Linked DNA regions of Pelodiscus sinensis. The main gene of each other region encodes a partner of the protein of the gene in region 2 in a complex. Links are inferred from orthologs where the notes say so. Each region holds a gene or a part of one and is shown on either strand. Other genes may lie near its edges. The genes, in order: AMH and AMHR2.

Region 1 (11,316 bases), about 27 Mb from region 2:
TACTTTATGAAAAATCACTTGGGTTCTTATGAATGTAAACTTTGCCTAACACTGCACAACAATGAGGTGAGTTGAACATGCCTTCGCATTTAACCCTTTGGAGGTGGTCTCATTTCCAAGGGGATAACTCCTGCAAACTGGCTATTGTTTTTGTTTTGGAGGACATAAAATTTTGCTTTGTGACAACAGGTTTGTACAGCACCTCAAACCACTATAAATGTATCTGTGATTTAAACATTAAAAAAGTCAGTGGACAGATTTGATTAGGCCAAAAACCCTGAATTGCACTTAAAATCCATTGCAGCACAAAACTAGTGGAAGCAGCCTAGAAAGTGAAGGTTGAGAAACTGAAACACAATAAATTTGTCATTTCATATTATTGCACCTTTAATAATGCATCTAATGTATAAGTACCTTAAAGATGTTCTTTTTGTTTCTTTTTAATTTTTAACTAGAAGCATCTTTTTAAGGACTGGCATTAGTATATGAATTGCGGTTGGCTCTCAGGGGCAAGAGATCTCCCAGTGTGGGTTGTGAAAGGTCAGGATGTGGAGGCTTGTGTCAGGGTTTTTTTTTTGGGGGTGGGGGAAGAGAGGAAGTGATTGGTGGTTGAGATCTGGGTTGGTGGAGGGAATGGATGAGACCCTGAAAAAAGTGTACATTTTCCCGTACCTCAGTGCACTTATGAGGATGAATACATTTTTCCTTTGTGCTGTAAGGGTACGTCTACACTTGCACCCTAGTTCGAATTACGGATGCAAATATAGGGGACCAAAATGGCTAATGAAGCGGGAATTTAAATATCCCGCGCTTCATTAGCATAATCTCGCCTGCGTGCTATTCTCTTTGCCAGCTGATTCAAACCAGGAAGTGCGTTAATTCAAAACAAACCCTTTGGTTCAAACTAACGTTACTCCTCATTTTTTGAGGAGTAACATCAGTTTGAACTAAGGGGTTTGATTTGAACTAACGCGGCCCGGAGCGCACTTCCTGGTTCGAATCAGCTGGCAATTGGAATAGCGCGCAGGCGAGATTATGCTAGTGAAGCGCAAGATATTTAAATCCCCGCTTCGTTAGCCATTTCGGTCGCCTACATTTGTATCCCTAGTTCGAACTCGGGTGCAAGTGTAGACGTACCCTAAGAGTTAAAATATTGACGTGTCTGAGAGCTTCCTTCAGAAGGCAGCTTAACTCTTCTGTGACATCTGGATACTTCGCAGCTTTCTGTCATATTTAATTTTCTTGTCTTGTTCTGTTGCAGGGAAGCTATTTAGCACACACCCAGGGGAAAAAGCATCAGACCAATTTGTAAGTTCTTAATGGAAGTGTTTTCCAGTCTCTGGACATGTTAAATTAGTGGGTATCTGTTTTAACAAACACTTCATCCTGGATTTATTTGTTTTACATTATAAATCAGAGTGCAAACTTAGTTTTGCTGTAGGCATGAGATCAAACAGTCCAGTTTGGCTTTTAAGCCTCCCTCTCTTCTTGGGTGCAACCCATCAAGTAGTTTTTCTTCATGTGCTAAGTGGAATGTCAGACGGGAAGCTCTTGGTTTAGCATTGTTGTAGCAGTGGGTTCAAATTCACAGCTATAGGGACTGTAGTTCTCTGTCAGGGCAGGAGTTGGCAAGAGACGGCTAGCAGGGTTTCAAGGCTGTATAGAGTACTCTTAATCGAAAGGATCGCATTTCTGAGTGCATCTAGATGACAACCTTCTGTCCTGATTTCAGAGCTCGCAGGGCTGCCAAGGAAGCTAAGGAAGCCCCTGCCCAGCCTGCACCAGAAAAAGTCAAAGTGGAAGTGAAAAAGTTTGTGAAAATTGGACGACCAGGTTACAAAGGTGACAAGTGACTGGCATGTCTTTTCTGTCAGGGTACCAACCTGGTTCTTGCTTGAAATGCAGTGCTGTGGATATTAGTTGTAAATAAGCTTTTCAGCCAATATGGTTATAAATAAATTCTAGGGCCGCGTCCCCCTCTCCTTGCATTGTTTTGTTTGCCTGTAGAGTGACTCAGCAATGCATAGGTAGTCATGATCAGTGATGCAACAGGTGGACAGCATGGGATGTATTCTGGCTCTCCTCTGCCACCTACTATAGTACTGCTCCCATGAGTATGATTTCCCCCCTTTCTTTCCATAAATGCTGAGTGTCACTAACAAGGTTTGTAATCTCAAATTTACTCACCCATTTTTATTTAAAAAATTGTTATGGCACGCTTCATGAAACTGGCTTTGTCACTGTGTTCTTGGCCAAAACTTCCTTTTTCTTCCATTTTATGTCCCCTATCTTCCCCTATTTTGCCATGTTCTGTGTGTCCGTTCTCTCCCTCTGCCCCAGAAGTTGCTGCATTTCAGTGGTGCTGAACACTTGGCATAAAGGCTTTCAAATAATGTAGTGTTACAACTGTGTAAACGGTCAGAGTTTTTGTTTTCTTTGGGATGGTGCTCTGTGCAGTACTATCAATTCCTAAAACAGGATTAGTGTCACTCCAGCTGCAATACTGTATTACAGCGGTTTTCAGCCTTTTTTCATTTGTGGACCCCTAAAAAGTTTTGAATGGCGGTGCAGAACCCTTTGGAAATCTTAGACATAATGTGCAGACCCTGGATTGAAAATCACTTTTCTATGGTAATAGTAACCTTCTGTGAACCTCTTACACATAGTCTGTGGTGCACAGGTTGGAAACACTACGGTATTGAACTCGTTCATTGTCCTTTCACAGTGACCAAACAGAGAGATCCAGAAATGGGGCAACAGAGCCTTCTCTTCCAGGTAAGCGACTGTGAACCTTGCATACCGCTGAGTGGTGCTTGTAAAGGAATTGTTCGGCTGCAAGTTCCTAGCAGGATGGATTAGAACAGAGGCTGTCGTTGAGGGTTTTGGCTCGGTTCCTGGTAGACATGTTCCCACACAATTACAGACAGCCATCAGAATGTTCTTGACACGGGCTGAGGAACGGTCCTCTTGTTCCTAGGGGTGGTCTTGGTAGGGCTGTGCTGTGGCACATGGGCAGTGGTGCTGGGGGAAGCTTTCGGTGCCGGCGCACTGCTCCTCACCATGTTGTAAGTGGAGAGATCCGTGACCAAGGCTGGTTTCTTTCACCAGCAGTAAATGTACTAATTTCACCATACAAAGGACACGGACTGGCCCCTCTTTATGGCTGGGGGTGTTTTCCGCTAGCAGAAGGGGGGAGGATTGAGTATGTACCTAATGCTGCAATATCCCCCCACAGATCGATTACCCAGAGATCGCTGAAACCATCATGCCTAGGCACCGGTTCATGTCTGCATACGAGCAAAGGATTGAGCCCCCAGACAGACGCTGGCAATACCTCTTGATGGCGGCGGAGCCCTATGAAACCATTGCTTTCAAGGTACAGTTTATTGGCCAATCATTGGCTGGGAATGTGTCTCGTGGATGGTAAGACTGAAATGACCCACTCTGGCCTCCTGCATGTTGATCTCTCCCTGCCCTGTGCATTCAGTGACAATAGAGCAGTGTCCACCTATTCCATTGCGCCTATGTGGATGGGGAGCATGGTTGGGCCTTTGTGTACAGGGAGCTTGGTTGGAAGTGTTGAAAGAGGACAACTCCTGAACCACCCTTCAGGATGAATAGAGACATGTGGCCGAGAGCGTCTGGGCAGCCAAGGAATTCTCTGCCTCCAGCACAGAAAGGAGCCCTTTGGGCCCTGCTCCTGCATCCTTTTTGTGCAGGTGTTAAGAGGAGCCAGTTTCAGACGATAAGCTTGCCCTTGAGAGATATGAAAGTGTCTTAATTCCTCCCCTCTGTCTATTAAGGCCTGATAGCACATCTCACACAAGCCTGGAATAGCGGTGCTTATCTTGCCGCTCTAGTGCTAAGGAGCTAATCTGGTGGTGCTAATAATAGCTCTTTACTGCTTTTGTTACAGGTGCCAAGCAGGGAAATTGACAAAGCAGAAGGAAAGTTTTGGACTCACTGGAACAGAGAAACCAAACAGGTAGCTGGAGACTCACTTCTTTGGGAGGGAGTGAAAAGATAAGAGGACAATGTGGAGGAGCGTAGGCCAGTGGTTACCAAAATACTTCGGTAGAACCTCAGTTATGAACACCAGAGGTAGAAACTGACCAGTCAGCCACACGCATTGTTTGGAACCAGAAGCATGACACAGAAATGTAAATACCATATAGTTCTGTGTTAAACGTAAACTACTAGAAAGTAAAGGCAAAGCAGCGTTTTTCTTCTGCAAAGTAAAGTTTCAGAGCTGTAGTAAGTCAGTGTTTGGTAGTAAACTTTTCAAAGAGCAACTGTAATGTTTTGTTCAGTGTTACAAACAACCTCCATTCCCAAGGCATTCTTAACTCTGATTATCTTGTAGTTCTGGCACTTCATGCTCCTTCACTGTGGAGCCTTGATGCTGAGCATTTCACAAGCCCACATTCTGAACTCCGATTTCCAGGGTGGGTTGGTGGTGGGTCTGGCCGATTGATTACATTGGTTCAGTTTCCTATGAACGCTGGACACAGATGTGTGCTGGAGCCCTCCTTTCCTTGATGCTTGAACCCACAATCCTGGGGTCCTCAGGCCAATGCCCTAGGCCACTTCAAAACCCAGCCCGCCTCCCTACCTGCAGGACGTCCCTTATCCGGCCTTCTTAATGGGGCAGCTGGTGGTGGTGTTCCTGGGTGGCTGGGCCTTGAAGCCACAACCCTGGGGTTGCCAGGCCAATGTGAGACAGAATGTTTTCTGTCTAACGTTCTCCGTGGGTGTTTGGCACGTGACATGATCTTCCTTGGCTCATCTGAGTTACTAAAAGGGCAAGTGTCAATCACCCAAAAGTAAGCTCCCTTATTGGCATTCTCGGCAGGGAGGTGGAGATGTGAAGGGGTCGTTGAGACTGATCTTCTTTCTCACCCAAACAAGGGGTCCCTCCAGGTCAGGTGGAAGTGCATTGGGAAGAAGCTTCTACAGCTGCTGCTGTACATACACAATCTGTCTCCTGAGCGGTCACCAGCATTTACGTTTGCTTAAAAATAAAACATGAAGCTGAGTGAAAATCTTCCTGGATTGCTGCCGCGTCAGTGGCTAGTCCAGCAGCCAGACCTTTCCACAGGGAATGCACGGACTTAGCCGCAGCACAGCACCAGTGGATCAATACGTAGCAGCAACATGTTCCTAACGTGTTTGGGGAACCGTGCGCCAGACACTTGTGTGGTGCTGTGTCCAGGGTGTGTGTGCAGTAGGCACAGTTGAGCAGGGATGGGGTGCTATACATAAGGGTGAGATGTTAACTTGGTAACTGACTCAGAAGCCAAAGAGCATATTTCGGGCTACTCTAGAATTAGAAGTGGGACTGCATTTGGTGCGAACCCGAGGTTGTCTGTTGATGGAGAGGCTGAGCGCGATGTGAGGTGACACCTGGGGTTGGAAGCATTACACATCATGTTTCAGTGGTTCACAATATTTCTTGGCGTACCAGAGACCACATGGTAGGGCAGCCACCTTGCGAGGTTCCCAAGCTGCTTTGCTGATTTGAATCTGTCCCTTTTTTTTTTTTTTTTTTTTTTTTTGCCCTAGTTCTTCCTTCAGTTCCATTTCAAAATGGAGAAGCCCCCAGTTCCCCAGAGCATCCCTCCTGGACCCCCAACCGTGAAGAGGCCTCCACCACCCCCACTGATGAATGGCTTGCCCCCACGACCACCTCTGCCGGACTCCATGCCGCCGCCGCCACCTCCTCCAGGAGGCTTGACTTTGCCACCCATGCCTCCCTCCGGTCCTGTACCGCCCCCAGCACCACCTCAGCTGCCCCCAGCTCCTGGGGTACATCCCCCTGCTCCTCTGCCCCCCATGATGAGACCACCTCTTCCCACGGAGGGGCCAGGAACTATTCCCCCCCCTCCTCCTTCCAACTGAAAAGCTCCTCCTGGACACTTTCCCCAGTGGACTCCTTTTGATTTGTGTTTTAATTATACACCATTATTTGCTCAGAGGGAAATCTTTGTCCTTTTTATATGCTAATAGCGTTGCCTGAATCCTGTAGGTTCATTAAAAGGCTTTCTACATTGTTTTCTGTATCCACGTCTTTCTCTTTGGGTGAAAACCATTGCCTGTGTTTCCACATTAGTAGTGTTAAAAGGCCCAAGAAAATGTGTAGCTAGTAACACACTGTCAGCCCTTGCTGTCCTTAGTGGTATATATTCAGAGTTATCATTACTCAAGGGGACAATGACTATACTCTCTAGAAATCTAACATCAGCTCAGACTCATGACACAATGCTTCTCCCTATGTTGGTTTTTGCTGTCCCATGTTCTACATCAGGGGTCTACCTTTTTGAGATCGCTTTTTAAATGTAAGTGCAATCCAAGGTCTACCTCAGATACAAATACCCTTGTCCCACCTCCTTCCTGCACCTTCTCTAAGACCCTGCCCCGCTCACTCCATCCTCCCTCTCTTGCCCATCCTCACTCACTTTCGCCAGGCTGGGGCAGATGGTTGGAGTGCAGGCTCCGGTCTTGGATTAAGGGATCTGGAATGTGAGAGAGGCTCTGAGCTGCTCTTGGGGCAGGAAGGGGTTCTAGGTGCAGGCTCTGGGATGGCATTTGGATGCAGGGATATACCTATCTCATAGAACTGGAAGGAACCTTGAGAGGTCATCAAGTCTAGTCCCCTGCCCTCAGGACTCGAGCCTAGGGCAGAGCCTTGGGGTACAAGAGGGGGTTCACGACTGGGGTAGGAGTTTGGGATGTGAGCTGCAGATGGGCACTGCTCGTGGCTCCTGGTTGGTGGGGCTGTGGCTCTGAACCACTCCCAAAAGCAGCCAGCAAGCTCCCTCCCAAGTCCTGTTGTGCCCCCTCTCTGCTCTGTGGAGATAGGATGAGAGTGGGCACCCTGACATCAGTGCGCTCTCGCTCCCCTGCCCTGCACAGAGAGCAGGAGGATCCCAGAGGGAGGGGCAGCTCCAAGGCAAAGGGCAGGAGATGAGCAGCAGTGGGGAGAGAGGCAGCTGAAGGTGCTGGCACTTGATAGCCTCCTGGCCAAACCAGTAAGAATCATCTGACAGGCTCCAAGATCTACCAATAGATCCCGATCAACTGGTTGGTGCCCACTGCTCTACATTGCCCTGTGGGAGAACTCCCCCATCCTTCCTCACGGGGACACTTTCTGGGGTTCCATGACAGCTGACTTTCCCTTGGCTGTCTCACCCGCTCCAGAATTTGATCATGTATTTCCATATATTGAACATGCACAGAGGGGTCCGGATTCAGAGCTAGGTTTAGATCTAGCCATGTGCATCTCAACAAACACGTGGCAGAAATGGATTCTTGCCCCATGCGCTGTCTCTTGCTGCATCTTAGATACCCAATGCCGAGGCTGCCCGATGAATCTCCCTGCAAATGTACGTGACGTGTCAGACGCGGCTGGGCAAGGTCAGAGTGAAGTAGGATTCCTCAAGATAAAGCCACAAACTAGTATTTTGAAAATGAAAATTGGCTAATTGTGCAAGTGTAACGTGTGGAACAACAGGAAGAGGGATTTCTGTTCAGGTGAGCTGGTGCTCAGGCAGTTCTCTGAAGCCAGCGTCTTAAGAGCCTCTGTGGCTTGAGTCTGTCGACCCGGTTGAGATCTTACCCTGAGATGGGATGGAGGCTCTATCGCTTGTGAGTCTTGCGGTAGGAGAGAACTCGGAGCAAGTAAGCCCTTTGGTCTATTCACACAGCTTGGTCTCCAGCACCTCTGCAGACAGAGATTCCTGGTACTGCATTTACCTCTTGAGTCATGCGCACGGGCCCTGTGAGCCAGCAGAAAGGTCTGGCTGTGTGTTGAATGTGGTTTTGAAGATCCATTTACCTGTGGGCATCACATTGCCGTGGAATCGGTGTGGGGACCGCACTAGCCATTTGGCCCTGTTGGGATGAGTGAAAGCAGGAAAGGAAAGTAGCTTTGGTGACCCAGCAGGACAGACCATGGCAGGATTGTTCCCTCTTTTATCGAATCCAGGACGGTTTTTGCCTCAAGGTCTGAGCCTTCCATGAATTCCCTCGTGAGACCCTTCCCTGATGCTCCAGTAGAATGAAATATTTTTACACCAAGCACTGAATTTTCCAGAGGAGTTGGAACAGCATAATATGAGTCTTCATGAGATGACCTCTCTAATGTGTCTGCAGAGGGGAAGAGCTGGTGCTCCCAGTAATCATGGGACGCTTCCCAGCCGAGAGAACTGATTGATCTAACTTCTCTCCATTTCTTCCCATTACCTTACTTCTACCCATTCCTTCCACTCTAAGCAGTTCCTTCCCCCAGATGTTTCAAGCCCTAAGAGAAATGTCTGCCAATCCCAGTGAAGATTCAAGCCAGACTGGCCATTTTCTCCCCACCCTTCTTAAAAACTTCTTAAGTCAAGGACAAGCATCCCTACAAATAAGGTAAACAGCTTCAATTTTATAATGTTTCCAAGCCCTGGATGCAAAGCCAAAAATAGAGCAGAAAAACTCCTTTGAATCGGCCCTCCCTCCTTTACAGCACACTGGCCTCTGAATGTTTCTCAGGGGAGGTGTGTTGTGCATTGTCAACTCAAGGTCGCTTTGTTTGAATGGGAGGTGCAGTCCTTCCCATACATAAGTGTTTCGAGGGATGCACTTAGTAACTCTAGCCTCGGAGGTTAGAGCTGCTCCGCGCCAGAACATGAAGCCCGTGCTAGGAGTCGCTTTGCAGTACCTGCTGCTGTTCCTCCCATCTGCTGCTGTGCCTAGGAAGAGAGGCATCGGGGGAGGACTCTGGCAGGCTGAAGAACTGGAAATAACCTTCCCGAAGGAGCTGGAAGAAAAGGAAGATGAGAGCACGTATGAGGGAGCAGAACCCAGCTTCATGGCATTGACATCCAAGGCCACCGCTGTTCCTCATCCCCTCTTGAAGAGTGACCAGCCAGGAGATTATGCCAAGGGAGCAAAATGCCCCCAGCTCTTCCCTGAGGAGGCAGTTTCCCCAGTTGTGGGGTTAGAATCCAGCCTCCCTGCTTGGCTCCCTGACAGGCTGGAAGGGCCTGTGTGCACGGTGAGAATGAGCAGGCGGTACGGCTTGGACCAGAGTCTTTTGGAAGTTGTGGGGGTCCTTACCAGCTACGAAAGCGATTTCCTGAAGCTGGTGAGACATGCCAGCTGGGATCAAGGCCAGCTGCAGACCTTTGGGATCTGTCCTGCCGGGGAGACCCATTCTGCTCTCCTGTCTCTGAAGCACATCCATGCCCACTTGGCTGAGCCAGGGGAGAGCAGGTTCCTGGTGCTGCATCTTGAGGAAGGTAAGTGCTCGGTTAAATCCTCGGAAGAGTCAGCCAAGAGAACCCAGTAGTGACTGGGGTTGAGAGAGATACTCAGATCCCATGGGAAGTGGGGCGTTACCAGGCAAATCCTGCTTTGCCACCAAAGATGGGGGTCGGTAGGAGACGAAACGGGGGAGAGGGACCAACTCCCCCGGAGAGTAGAAATAACCCACTCAGCATCATAAGCTTCCCATTCCGGTAGAGATCACCTTGTGCGTGTCCCTGTCCCCATCCGTCCCTGGCAACATCCTGTTGGCCGCTGGGGCTCCCAGCATAGCTGGGTTAATGCTCTCCCCCTCGGCCCTTGCTGCACTCCTGGCTCACTCAGTTCTTCAATGCTTACAGTAAAATCCAAAGGCTAAGGTGAAACCCTGTTCTCTCTGTGGAAGAGAAAGGGTATATGTGGGTAACCGCGTTCGTCCCCGTTCTTAGCAGTGCCCTGGTTCATAGGGTGGCATAAAACCCTTGAGAAAGCTGATTGCTGAGAACAATTCCCTCTTGTTCTTTCCCCGCTGGTATTGGTCTCTTGCGTAATGTCTCCAGCCCTGTTCATGAAGCACATCGGAGCCCTTGCTGCCATGGGGAGCTTGCCTGTGTAGAAACCCTGCCGCATCTCCCTTGCAATAGACTGCATGAGGACTCGTGCAGGCTCATGTGAATGGGTCTGTGCAGAAGTAGATAGCTTCATGCTTACCCTTGGGTGGGAATGGGGAAAGGGCAATGTTAAGCTGCAGGGGGGTGGCCTGGGACCATGGTCCCCCAGGGAGCCACGTCGGTGTCTGCGGGATCTCTTTCCAGCAGCGTTCTAGCACGGGCAGGGTTTGACCCGGCAGAGAACTAGGTCAGTTACACTGGGTGAACCTTCTCCTCAGCCCCCTCCACCAGCGTATTTAAATATATAACACTTAGTGCTGGCTTGAGAGCCCCGGAGTCTGTGCGTGTGCGAGCACAGTCCTTTAGCGGCGCCGCGTCCCTTCGAGCAGCGGTGTGCTTGTGGCGGGGGTCGGTGGAATTCCTTGGTCTTTGTTACGCAGGGGTCCAGTGAGAGGATGTCAGTCTGGTTTTGAAATCGGTTGAGTCACACACAGCCGCCCCATCAGGGTCCCCCCGCTTTGCTTCACCAGGTTAGGGATGTTAAATTGTGGTGATCTGGCTCCTCGTGTGGTCGATAATGACACGACTAGTCGACGGGCTGCTCTGCAGAGCCACGGCAAGGGGAGCTCCAGGAGCTGGCTCAAATTGGGACTCAGCAGTCCTGGCTCGTGCTGGCTCTGGGAGATGCCCACGCTGCAGCTCTGCATTTGAAATGTAGTGAGAGCTGCCTTTAAAATGCGGAGGCGCAGCCTCCCAGACCCGCACGAGCCAGGACTGCTCATTCCCGGCTTGCACGGAGTCCAGCAGCGCTTGTTCGCAGTGTCCAGCTCAGGCTGCTGTGAACAGGGGGCTGCTTGGTGGCAGCAGCCCCTGTCCACCAGGGCGGGGGCCCAGCTCCCTGCTGGGGCTCCTGTGGACAGGGGCTGCTCCCCTTCTCCTCTTCCCCACTGCCTCTGATGGGAGCAGCGGGTGGGAGGAGGTGGCACCGTGGAGACATGCTGAGGGAACCAGCTTTTAAACCAGCTTCTCCTAGCACTGGCTTCTGCCCCCCCGCTGCCTGTCAGAGGCAGCAACCTGGCGGGGAGGGGAAGCATGTAGTCGATACTCCAGTCGACTCCTCACTAACATCCCTACCCCGGGTCTGGGGTGGAGTCGAGTCCAAGTCTGAAAAGGGAATTCAGTCTCCAAGTTTTTGGCCCCTCCGTACCAGGGTGGCCGGCTGAGAGCTGGGTTGCGTTCCTTGGATACCTGCCTTGGAGCAGACAGCAGCTGTTGAAATCTCTGTGACCGGGGCTGGATTTGAACCAGCAACACAGAGCCGCGTAGTGCTGTGCTTGTGCGGCAGGGCCCGGCACTCTCCTGGTGCTCCTAGGCAGGGCTTTGTGTGCTGCTGTTCTCAGACCCTTGGCGTGAGACAGCG
Region 2 (11,299 bases):
GTCCCACCCACGGGCCGCGGCTCCGCTTGAGTTTTAATTAAAATCCAGGAGAAAGGACGGCTCCCCCCTCGCCTCCGGCATTCCTGGGTCCTCCCCCATCAAAGGGGCTGGGGAGGGGGGACCGGATCCAGCCCCGGCTAATTCCAGCTGGGCAGCCCGACTGGAAGATGCCCAGACAGTCCCCTGGCAGGGAGAGGGGCCTAGTGGTCAGGGCTCCTGGGGTCTCCCTCCAGCCTGAGAGGAGGGGACCTGGGGGTCCAACCAGGAGGCGACATCGCGGAGGCACGGGGGGGGGGGGGTCCCATTTCCTTTCTTGCTTCGGAGCCTGTTTGTGGCCAGGCAGGGAACCCAGGCGCCTGGCTCTCCCTGGCCCTGTTTGCTCTAACTACTAGACTCCGCTCTCCCTTCAGGGCCGGGCAGGGAACCCAGGCGCCTGGCTCTCCCTGGCCCTGTTTGCTCTAACTACTAGACTCCGCTCTCCCTTCAGGGCCGGGCAGGGAACCCGGGCGCCTGGCTCTCCCTGGCCCTGTTTGCTCTAACTACTAGACTCCGCTCTCCCTTCAGGGCCGGGCAGGGAACCCGGGCGCCTGGCTCTCCCTGGCCCTGTTTGCTCTAACTACTAGACTCCGCTCTCCCTTCAGGGCCGGGCAGAGAACCCAGGCGCCTGGCTCTCCCTGGCCCTGTTTGCTCTAACTACTAGACTCCGCTCTCCCTTCAGGGCCGGGCAGAGAACCCAGGCGCCTGGCTCTCCCTGGCCCCGTTTGCTCTAACTACTAGACTCCGCTCTCCCTTCAGGGCCGGGCAGGGAACCCGGGCGCCTGGCTCTCCCTGGCCCTGTTTGCTCTAACTACTAGACTCCGCTCTCCCTTCAGGGCCGGGCAGGGAACCCGGGCGCCTGGCTCTCCCTGGCCCTGTTTGCTCTAACTACTAGACTCCGCTCTCCCTTCAGGGCCGGGCAGGGAACCCGGGCGCCTGGCTCTCCCTGGCCCTGTTTGCTCTAACTACTAGACTCCGCTCTCCCTTCAGGGCCGGGCAGGGAACCCGGGCGCCTGGCTCTCCCTGGCCCTGTTTGCTCTAACTACTAGACTCCGCTCTCCCTTCAGGGCCGGGCAGAGAACCCAGGCGCCTGGCTCTCCCTGGCCCTGTTTGCTCTAACTACTAGACTCCGCTCTCCCTTCAGGGCCGGGCAGAGAACCCAGGCGCCTGGCTCTCCCTGGCCCCGTTTGCTCTAACTACTAGACTCCGCTCTCCCTTCAGGGCCGGGCAGAGAACCCAGGCGCCTGGCTCTCCCTGGCCCCGTTTGCTCTAACTACTAGACTCCGCTCTCCCTTCAGGGCCGGGCAGGGAACCCGGGCGCCTGGCTCTCCCTGGCCCTGTTTGCTCTAACTACTAGACTCCGCTCTCCCTTCAGGGTCGGGCAGGGAACCCAGGCGCCCGGCTCTCCCCCCGTCCCCACCCCCCCAGAAGGCCCAGCAGCCCCTCGGGGGAAAGGCGGGACCCTGGCAACTGTTGGGTCGGCCCCGGTGCCCCAGCCCAGCCCCGTGTGAGCGCTGGGTCCCGCTGCCTCCCAGCGGCTTATCAGAGTGACTCAGCTCTCTGGCCCGGCGCTCCCCTGCCTGGCTCCTTTCCCAAGGTCCGCGGGCCGCCGTCCAGGCCAGAGCGCCAGATAGCGGGGCTCCCCCAGCACCACGCACCTGCCGGGCTGGGCCCATGCTGGACCGTCCCTCCCCCAGCCGGGAGAGTTTGCAGAGGGGATGGAGACAGATCAGGGAGGGGAGCAGGGCCAGACACGGGGGGGGGGAGATGGGGACAGCCCGGGGGCAGCGGGGGAGCAGGGCCAGACACAGGGGGGAGATGGGGACAGACCGGGGGCAGTGGGGGAGCAGGGCCAAACATGGGGGGGCAAGAGGGGCTGCACGGGGAGGGGAGCAGACAGGGGCAGTGGGGGAGCAGGGCCAGACACGGGGGGGGAAAGATGGGGACAGCCCGGGGGCAGCGGGGGAGCAGGGCCAGACACGGGGGGGGGAGATGGGGACAGCCCGGGAGACAGTAGGGGAGCAGGGCCAGACACGGGGGGGAGATGGTGACAGACTGGGGGGCAGTGGAGGAGCAGGGCCAGACACGGGGGGGTGGGGAGATGGGGACAGACCGGGACAGTGGGGGAGCAGGGCCAGACACGGGGGGGGGGGATGGGGACAGACCAGGGGCAGTGGGGGAGCAGGGCCAGACACGGGGGGGGGGATGGGGACAGACCAGGGGCAGCGGGGGAGCAGGGCCAGACACGGGGGGGAGATGGGGACAGCCCGGGGGCAGCGGGGGAGCAGGGCCAGACACGGGGGGGGGGATGGGGACAGACCAGGGGCAGCGGGGGAGCAGGGCCAGACACAGGGCGGGGATGGGGACAGCCCGGGGGCAGCGGGGGAGCAGGGCCAGACACGGGGGGGGATGGGGACAGCCCGGGGGCAGCGGGGGAGCAGGGCCAGACACGGGGGGGGGGGATGGGGACAGCCCGGGGGCAGCGGGGGAGCAGGGCCAGACACGGGGGGGGGGGATGGGGACAGCCCGGGGGCAGCGGGGGAGCAGGGCCAGACACGGGGCGGGGATGGGGACAGCCCGGGGGCAGCGGGGGAGCAGGGCCAGACACGGGGGGGGGGGATGGGGACAGCCCGGGGGCAGCGGGGGAGCAGGGCCAGACACGGGGGGGGGGGATGGGGACAGCCCGGGGGCAGCGGGGGAGCAGGGCCAGACACGGGGGGGGGGATGGGGACAGCCCGGGGGCAGCGGGGGAGCAGGGCCAGACACGGGGGGGGGGGATGGGGACAGCCCGGGGGCAGCGGGGGAGCAGGGCCAGACACGGGGGGGGGGATGGGGACAGCCCGGGGGCAGCGGGGGAGCAGGGCCAGACACGGGGGGGGGGGATGGGAACAGCCCAGGGGCAGCGGGGGAGCAGGGCCAGACACGGGGGGGGGGGATGGGGACAGCCCGGGGGCAGCGGGGGAGCAGGGCCAGACACGGGGGGGGGGGATGGGGACAGCTCAGGGGCAGCGGGGGAGCAGGGCCAGACACGGGGGGGGGGGGATGGGGACAGCCCGGGGGCAGCGGGGGAGCAGGGCAGACCCGACGGGGCAACACGATTTCTACTTATCTTGTGTCTGCCTCTGTTTTTTCCTCCCTGTGAATGTGTCGGGCTCGGAGCCAGGCAGAGTCTGGGCGAGCTTCCCCCGGCCCTGCCTGTGCCCCTCGGTCCTGCCCCCCCCACCTCCCCCGCTCTGCAGCTCCATCCCCACAGGAGACGCGCTGCTGTCACCTGCCCGGGCCCGTCGCCCCAAGACCCGGCCTGGGACTCCGGGTTCCCGACCCGGGTTCGCCGCTGAGCCAGGCAGCAGCAGGGAGACGGCGCGAGCCCCCGGCCCTGTGGGGTCTGCTCCCAGCCCCCTTCCCCGTGGCAAACACTGAGGGGCCCGCCCCCCCCCGGCCGTGGGGCCCGCTCACCTTGCGGGGGGGCAGGGGCGCCCAGCCGGCTGGCAGCGTTGCAGAGGTCAGAGCGGCACAGGCAGCGCTGCAGGGTGACCCCGTAGGTGTGGATGGGGCTGGGTTCGCAGGCCGGGGAGTCGCAGTCGTCCCGGTCGCTGTCCCAGCAGCCTGGCCTCCCGCAGACAGACAGACAGACAGACAGACACACACACAGACAGACACACACACACACAGACACAGACAGACACACACACAGACAGACACACAGACACAGACACACACACAGACAGACACAGACAGACAGACGGCGCCGTCAGGGACAGAGGTCCCCAGTGTCGGCCATGCAGGCGCCTATTGACCCTGCAGCCACTGGGGGGGTCCTGAGCCAGCCGCAGCAGGGGGCAGGTGCCCCCCCTCCATGGCCACTTCCCAGGGCTGTAAACCAAACCCACCCGCCACTTCTAGACAAGTGGGAAGGGGCTACACAAGAGCAGGGAAAAGCTCCGACCACTAGGCCTTACTCCCCAGGAGTCCAGACACCCAGCCCCAGCCCCGACCACTAGCCCGCCCAGCCAGCGCCCAGCTCCTCGTCCCAGAGCCCGCTCCCCTCCTGGAGCCGAAACGGCCCCTGCCCCCGGGCGCCCGGACAGCCCCAGCCGGCGGCGCCCCCTCCCCGCCCCTCACCTTGCATCACAGCCTGCAGCCCGCCCTGGCTGTCGTTCCAGATCCCAAAGCAGCACTGGCTGGCCAGGCAGAGGATGGTGCCGCGCTCGGCGCCCCCCAGCAGGCGCCCCCAGTGCCGCATGGTGCCCCGCACCTGGTGGGGCGGCTCGTAGAAGACGCAGCTCCGGTTGCTGCTCCGGGCGCCTGGGGAGACACAGGAGGCTGCGTCGGGCGGGTTTGGGGGGCCCCCGCCCACTGCCATGGGGCGCCAGGAGAGCACGGGGCCCTGCCCGGCCCTTACCCAGCAGCCCCAGGCTCAGCCAGAGGCCCAGGCCGTGCAGCACTCGGAAGGGCTGGGGCATGCTTGCCCCATCCAGCCGGGGTCCTTCTCCCAGCACCTGGAGCGCGCGTGTGAGCCCGGCCGGCCCTCCCCCGGGAAGGACTTGGCCGGCGCGGCGCGTGGGATGGGGCCCAGACGCTGTCAGCGGCCAGGGGCAGGAAAAGGAGCGCGGGGAAGGAGGGCGCCACTCCCCCATGCCCTGCTCCGGGCCTGCCCCCCCGTGGGCCCCGCTCTGCCCCAGCCCCCCCGTGGGGCCCGCTCTGCCCCAGCCCCTGCAGCCCGCGGGGCTCCGTCGGTCACGTTACTGGATTCTAAAGATCACGGCTGCACCCGGGGGGGTGCCCCAAAAGTCGGCACAAAGGGGCCGTGCGAGGTGTCACGTGAATGCTTGTGTCCTACTGATTCTGGGTGTGCGCTGCACGTGCTCGTACGAGGTGTGTGCGGAGTGATAAGCGTGTGCTCCACGGGGACGCCGGAAGGGTCTGTGGGAGGCAGCACCAGGCCAGCGGCCGTGCTAATTAGCAGGGCTCCAGGGACACGAGAGCTCCGAGTGCCAGAGACCCACCCGGGGAACATCCGGAGACCTGCGAGCCGGCCAGGAGAACGGTTGCTGGCCTGGGACACGGGGATAGGTCCATGGACCATGCGACTTGCAGTGACCAGCTCTGCCCAGGGGGGTATAGAAGTGCCTTGTGGCTCCTCCACCTGGTCTTGAGTTCGGCTCCTGATCCCAGATGCAGCCTTGCAGGGAACCACGAGCCAGGAAGAACCGTGGCCCCGTCCTGACATAGGATGCGCCCCAGAGACGGTTAAGAGCAGTTTCTAACATCTCTGCTAAGAGCCTGTAGAGTGCAGATTCTGAAGGACGGGCCCAGCGTGCTCTTGCGGGGAAGATCCAGAGTGTACATTGACCGGGACCGGTGGCTGGTTTCTTGGGACCGGAAGAACCCGTTCGGGGGAGGTGAGGTTGGGTTCTAACCCCGCACCTGTGTGGGGGCCCGGGGCTGGTTGGGGCATAGGAGGAGCTGGGGTGTCCGGGGGGTTTTGCTCGTGAGGTTCCTGCCGGCCGGACTGGCAGCTGGAGCGCTCGGTGGGCCCGGCCTGTGGCCTGTTTGGGAAGGTCCCCAGGCTGGGGCTGTACGGAGCCCTGAGTTTCGAGCAACTCGCCCTGGGCAGATGCCCTGAGTGGTGCCCAGACCTGGCCCGGCCCGGGGCTTAGCCACTCTGGCCGCTCGGAGCCTCCGGGCGCCGGTCCGGTGGCAAACAGCCCCAGGGCGTGTCTCCGGCCCAGAGCCTTCCTTGTGAGCCCAGGCCAGGTCTCGGGTACGTCCGTGGGGCTCCTGCCCCAACACAACGGCCAGCGGGTGTCATTATCCCCAAATGCCCCCCGCCCGAGTGGCTGCTGGATCGGGCTTCGTCTCTGAGGAGCAGGGCCTGGGGGCTTGAACTGTGACCAGCGCCTGCGCCCCACCCCAGAGGCAGCTGCATTTCAGCCAGCACTGGCTAAGCCTTCCCTGGCCAAAAGGGCCCTGTGGAAGCTGCGGAAAAGACCTGCTGCCCTGCTGTGGGCCAGACCAGCGGCACCCTGCCAGCCTCTGTTGCTGTGCGGGGAGGGGACCAGGCACCCCATTTGGGCGGGAAAGTTCCGGTCCCCACTGTCCATGGGCCGGGGCCGCGCTCCACCCGTATTCTGGAATGTAGGCCTGTCACATGACTGGATTTTAAGGGGATCAGGCAGATCACTGCTGCACCCCAAGGTCTGTACAAAGGGGCCATGCGAGGCGTCCAATGAAAGCGCGTGTCCTACCGGTTCTGTGTCTGCTACGCACGTACCGGCGGGACGTCTCCTGTGGGGATATGGAGACGGGCTGGTCCTGGCGATGTTCTCCGCCTGAGACGGAGCCGTGGGCCTGGACGGCCTGTTGTAAAGAGCAACTGTTCAGTCAGGGACTCTGCTAATTAGCGCAGCTCCAGGGACAGTGGCTGTCAAGGTGCCCAACACGCCTGAGGGATGCTCCGGAGACCTGCAAAGCAGCCAGTATCCAGTGGCTGCCGACACGGGACACGGGGACAGGTCACTGGTACCCGGGATGGATAGAAAGTGCCATGAGGCGACTCCATCCGGCCTTCAATTCTGCTCCTGTTCCCAGATGCAGCCTCGCGAGGGACAGAGCCGGGAAGGATTGTCGACCCCTCCTGCCATAGGACGGGCCCCAGAGCCGTCTAAGCTGGCGGTTTGGAACAGCTCTGCCGAGAGCCTGCACCGAGAGCTGGGCGACTGGTGCGTGTGACGTGTTCCCCTTCGCACTCGCCGCCTTTTCCTTCTTTTATGAATGAACCTTCGGCTCTTAGATGCTAAGGACGGGCCCAGCGCGCCCTTGTGGGTACGATCCACAGCGCAAATTGACCGGGACCTGGGGCTGGTTCTCTGGGAGGGGGAGGAGCCGTTGGGGGTGGGTGAGGTTGGTTCTATAGCCCCCCACCTGTGCGGGCCCCGGGGCGGATTGGGGCACAGGGAGAGCTGGGGTGTCCGGGGGGTTTTGCTCGTGAGGTTCCAGCCGGCTGGATTGGCAGCTGGAGCGCTCGGTGGGACCGGCGTGTGGCCTGTTTGGAAGGGCCCCAGTCAGGGGCAGTAAGGAGCCCTGGTTTTGAGCAATTTGCCCTGAGCGGTGCCCAGACCCGGCCCGGCCCAACACAGGGACCCAGCTCCACCAACCTTTAGTCTCAGCACGACCTTCAGTCCGAGGCGCTGGGCCGGAGCCGGCCCCGTCAGCAGGGACCCCAGGGCGCGGGGCCGGGCTGTTTCAGCACCGTGGGAGCGTGCGGTGGAGCCCGGGCCGTGCTGTGGCTCATCCGGGCGCTGGGTGGGGCTGCGGGGTCTGAGGGGGAGGACGGGCTCCAAAGACCAGCAGCAACGTTGAGCAGCAGCCATCTTGGGCCAGCAGGTGGGGCCAGCCCCATGGGGGAGCGAGCCAGCCCCACGGGCTGGCCCATTTTCCCTTGGGTCACCCTACTCCTAGGCCCCCGACGGTGTAAAAATCAAGAGCCAGACCCCGCGACCCTCCCACACCCCAGCCACGAGCGGGGGGCCTGGCGCCAGTGGGGGTGGGCAGCAGGTGACCCGGCACGGGCGGGGGGCGCAGGAGCGGACCCGGGGCAGAGGGGCTGAGGCCAGGTGGGAGCCGGACGGGGGAGGCTTTGGGAGAATTCCTCCCTGCGGCAGGGCCGGGGGCAGCCCCACCCAGCGCCCGGCCGAGCGGAGGAGCCGCAGCACGGCCCGGGCTCCACCACACGCTCCCACAGCGCTGAAACAGCCCGGCCCCGCGCCCTGGGGTCCCTGCCAACGGGGCCGACTCCGGCCCAGCGCCTCGGCTTCCATTTCCACAGGGCGGCTAGCGCCGCGGCTCCCGGCCCCCAGCCTCAGGGGTTAGCATCTGTGCCCCATGCCTAGCTAAGACACCCCCCCCGGAGAACCCCCCCACCGCAGCCACACACACGACAACTACACACACACACCCCGACCACACCCACAACCATGACCACACAGCCCCACCACACAACTACACCCCCCGACCACACCCACAACCGTGACCACACAGCCCCACCACACAACTACACCCCCCGACCACACCCACAACCGTGACCACACAGCCCCACCACACAACTACACCCCCCCGACCACACCCACAACAGTGACCATACACCCCCACCACACAACTACACCCCCCCGACCACACCCACAACAGTGACCATACACCCCCACCACACAACTACACACACACACCCCGACCACTCCCACAACAGTGACCATACACCCCCACCACACAACTACACCCCCCCGACCACTCCCACAACCGTGACCATACACCCCCACCACACAACTACACCCCCCGACCACACCCACAACAGTGACCATACACCCCCACCACACAACTACACACACTCACAACGATGACCACACACCCCACTCCACACCGCACCCACCCACTTTTCTGGTGGCTGTTCCCCTGTCCATGAGTGCGGCCGCGAGGCCACCAGAATGTCCCCCGAACAGCGTCTCGGAGGGTCGCGGGAAGGGGGCGCGTGTTGTTTGCCCCACTTCATTTGCTCTGCCAGTTGCCAGGTGCGATTCCCAGCCACAGGCCGGAGCGCGCTCGCCCCCCCTTTGCTAACGCGCAGCAGCCCCCCGGGGCCGACGCACTGCGACCCCCACCGCCAGCAAGGCGTGCTGAGTCACTGGAGGAAACGTGCAGCCCAACCCCAGGGAACGTCTCCACGGGGTACCTGCTCAGCTGGACAGCTGCAACTGGCCAGGGTCCGGGCACTCAGCTCCCGGGGCTGCAGTCCGGATTTGGCCTGCCCCAGACGCTCAAGCCCGGCCACCTCGCACGGGGACGCTCCAGGGGACTTGGGTGGGCAGTATTTGGGACGGGGGGCCCTACGCCCATAATCTAGAGGCCTCAGGAAACCTGAGCTGGGTTTTGCTAGACGTGGGCGGAGAGCAGGCCTGCTCCGCCGGCTCCGGAAGCCGCTGGGAAATCTCCTATTGGCATCACGAGCACCCCAGCCTGCCTGCCTCCCGGGGCCGGTTCAAAGAAGGTAGGGGCACTGGAAAAGGCTCCAAGAAGGGCGCGGGAGTCGCCACGGCTTCGGGAGCGGGGAGTCAAGCATGGATTCGTGAAGCACAAATCACTCAGACCCACGGGCCCGCTTTGAGACAGGCCGGCACGCCGGGTGGATAAGGGAGCGGGGGGGATACCTGGACTTTAGGAAGGCATCTGAGTCTCACATGACCTTATCGATAAACTAGGCAAACAACTGAGCCGGGGCAGCCAGGTGGTGCAGGACTGGGGCGAAGCGCGCAGTCGTTCTGAACGGCTCCCAGTCCTGCTGCAAGGGCAGAACAAGGGGGGTTGCGCAGGGGTCTGTTCAGTGTCTTCATCAGCCATTGAGGGATCGGCACACACAGGACGCTTATGAAGTCTGCAGATGATCCCAAGCTGGGAGGGGCTGCGAGCGCTTCGGAGGTGCGGGGAGAATTCACAATGATCTGGACACTCTGCAGAAATGGGCTGAGGGCAACAGGATGACGTTTGAGGACAAATGCCAAGTGCTGCCCTTAGGAAGGAACAGCCCGTCACACAGGAAGGGATCGAGGGGACCAGCTAAATAGGAGTCAACAGCACGACGCCGCTGCAGAGAGGACTGACGAGCAGGCCTGTTGGGAGCAAGACAGGCGTCTCTGCCGCTCTGCTCCAGCCATGGCGTCGGTTAATTGAATAACTGAGGAACCCGGGAATTCCAGTCCCCACGGGCGGGGCCGGCAGCCAGTGCACCCTGTATCACAGGCAGCAGTGCGGGGCGCCAGGCGGGAGCTGGCCCACAAGGGGAGCCAGTTTAAAAACCAGCCCCCCTCACGGACCGGCTGGCTGCCGCCCTGCACGGCTGTCTCTGCTACAGAGGCAAAAGCAGCCCGTCTAAGAGGGTCCCAGTGCGAGACGGGACTGAGACGAGCTGCCTGTCCGCCTGGCTCCGCATACACTTGAAATGCAGAGCCGCTGGGGCGGGTGTCCTGGACCCAGTGGGGGGGTGGGGGTTGTCCTGGACCCAGTGCGAGCTGGGACTGAGCTGGGCTGCTGGCCGGCACGCTCACACATTTACTGGCAAGGTGGCGGGGGAGGGAACCGCGTGTGGTCTATAGAATTGACTGCACCCGCGTTTCCCAAAGTGAGGCCCACGGCCCAGTACCAGTCCTTAGGAAACTTTTCGCGCACGATCCTATTCATTTGTGAGATGGGGTAGCAGCACCCCGCACTGCCTCTGCCGGGCATGCTCCCAGGCGGCGGGCGCTAGATCCGGCGGGCGCTAGGGCCCAGGGAGAAGGCCGGGTGCCGTGCGCACCGACGCAGAACGCCCAGCGCCGGACGCAGCTGGGGGAGCCAGTGCCAGCCGATAAAGTGACCGGGATTGGGGCACAGAACAACCCGCCAGACAGGTCGGGCCAGCGTCACCATTTATTTGCATATTCCTCATTTGCTTAATGAATATGCAAATACATGTTACCCATCCTCCAAAAGCTTGTGAATGGGTTTACTGGTCCCCAGGCTCAGAAAGATAGGGAACCACTGGACTACACTATCACATCCCTACTCTGCTCTGCACTGACCAGGCCTCAGCTGGAGTGTTGTGTCCAGTTCTGGGCGCCACATTTCAAGAAAGATGTGGAGAAATTGGGGAGGGTCCAGAGAAGAGCAACGAGAATGATGAAAGGTCCAGAGAACAGGAGCAGTGAGGGGAGGCTGAAGGAACTGGGCTGGTTTAGTTGGGAAAGGAGAAGGCTGAGAGGAGACATGACAGCAGGTTTCAAGTATCTAAAAGGGCGTCACAAAGAGGAGGGAGAAAAATTGTTCCCCTTGGCCTCTGAGGACAGGCCAGGAAGCAACGGGCTGAAACTGCAAGGGAGGTTTAGGTTGGACATTAGGAAAAACCTCCTGCCTGTCAGGGTGGGGAAACACTGGACTAAATTGCCTAATGGGGTTGTGGAATCTCCATCCCTGGAGATATTGAAGAGCAGGTTGGGTAGACACCTGTCTGGGATGGTCTAGCTCAGCTGAGAGAAGTCGGGAGGGGGGGGGGGGGGGAGAGAACGTCAACAACTGAAATTTGGAGAAAATGGAATTTTTGTTTTGAGATTCACAGCGCTTTATCATCTTTGTACTTTTTACACCCAAGAATTTCACACACCCTCCCCCCCCTGGCCCGGCTACGATTAAGTTATTAAAACAAATGTTACAATTTTTTTCTACCGTTGCATCTGAAAAC

Evidence for each region.
Region 1: the proteins of AMHR2 (region 2) and AMH are in contact, whole or in part, in a crystal structure (PDB 7L0J), measured with the Homo sapiens proteins. The link is inferred for Pelodiscus sinensis from reciprocal best matches to the Homo sapiens genes AMHR2 and AMH. Residues at the interface, in NP_065434.1 of Homo sapiens: Gly31, Val32, Arg33, Gly34, Ser35, Thr36, Thr38, Leu39, Phe62, Ile64, Glu75, Met76, Arg80, Asp81, Ser82, Glu84, Pro85, Ser95, Arg97, Ala98, Pro100, Ser101, Leu106, Thr108; in NP_000470.3 of Homo sapiens: Leu471, Arg472, Glu474, Val477, Leu478, Ile479, Pro480, Glu481, Thr482, Tyr483, Gln484, Lys534, Leu535, Ile537, Leu539, Glu542, Arg543, Ile544, Ser545, Ala546.

The regions. Positions count from the first base shown.
Region 1 is NC_134729.1:27,222,662-27,233,977, reverse strand, and holds the start of AMH (muellerian-inhibiting factor), read left to right. Parts: upstream 1-6,173; 5' UTR 6,174-8,617; coding exon 8,618-9,281; intron 9,282-11,316. Other genes in the region: SF3A2 (splicing factor 3A subunit 2), read left to right, coding at 1-66, 1,262-1,308, 1,733-1,842, 2,726-2,775, 3,236-3,376, 3,917-3,985, 5,563-5,898. UniProt on the Homo sapiens protein: Plays an important role in several reproductive functions. Induces Muellerian duct regression during male fetal sexual differentiation. Also plays a role in Leydig cell differentiation and function.
Region 2 is NC_134729.1:319,021-330,319, reverse strand, and holds the start of AMHR2 (anti-Muellerian hormone type-2 receptor), read right to left. Parts: upstream 4,689-11,299; 5' UTR 4,674-4,688; coding exon 4,439-4,673; intron 4,342-4,438; coding exon 4,159-4,341; intron 3,643-4,158; coding exon 3,493-3,642; intron 1-3,492. UniProt on the Homo sapiens protein: On ligand binding, forms a receptor complex consisting of two type II and two type I transmembrane serine/threonine kinases.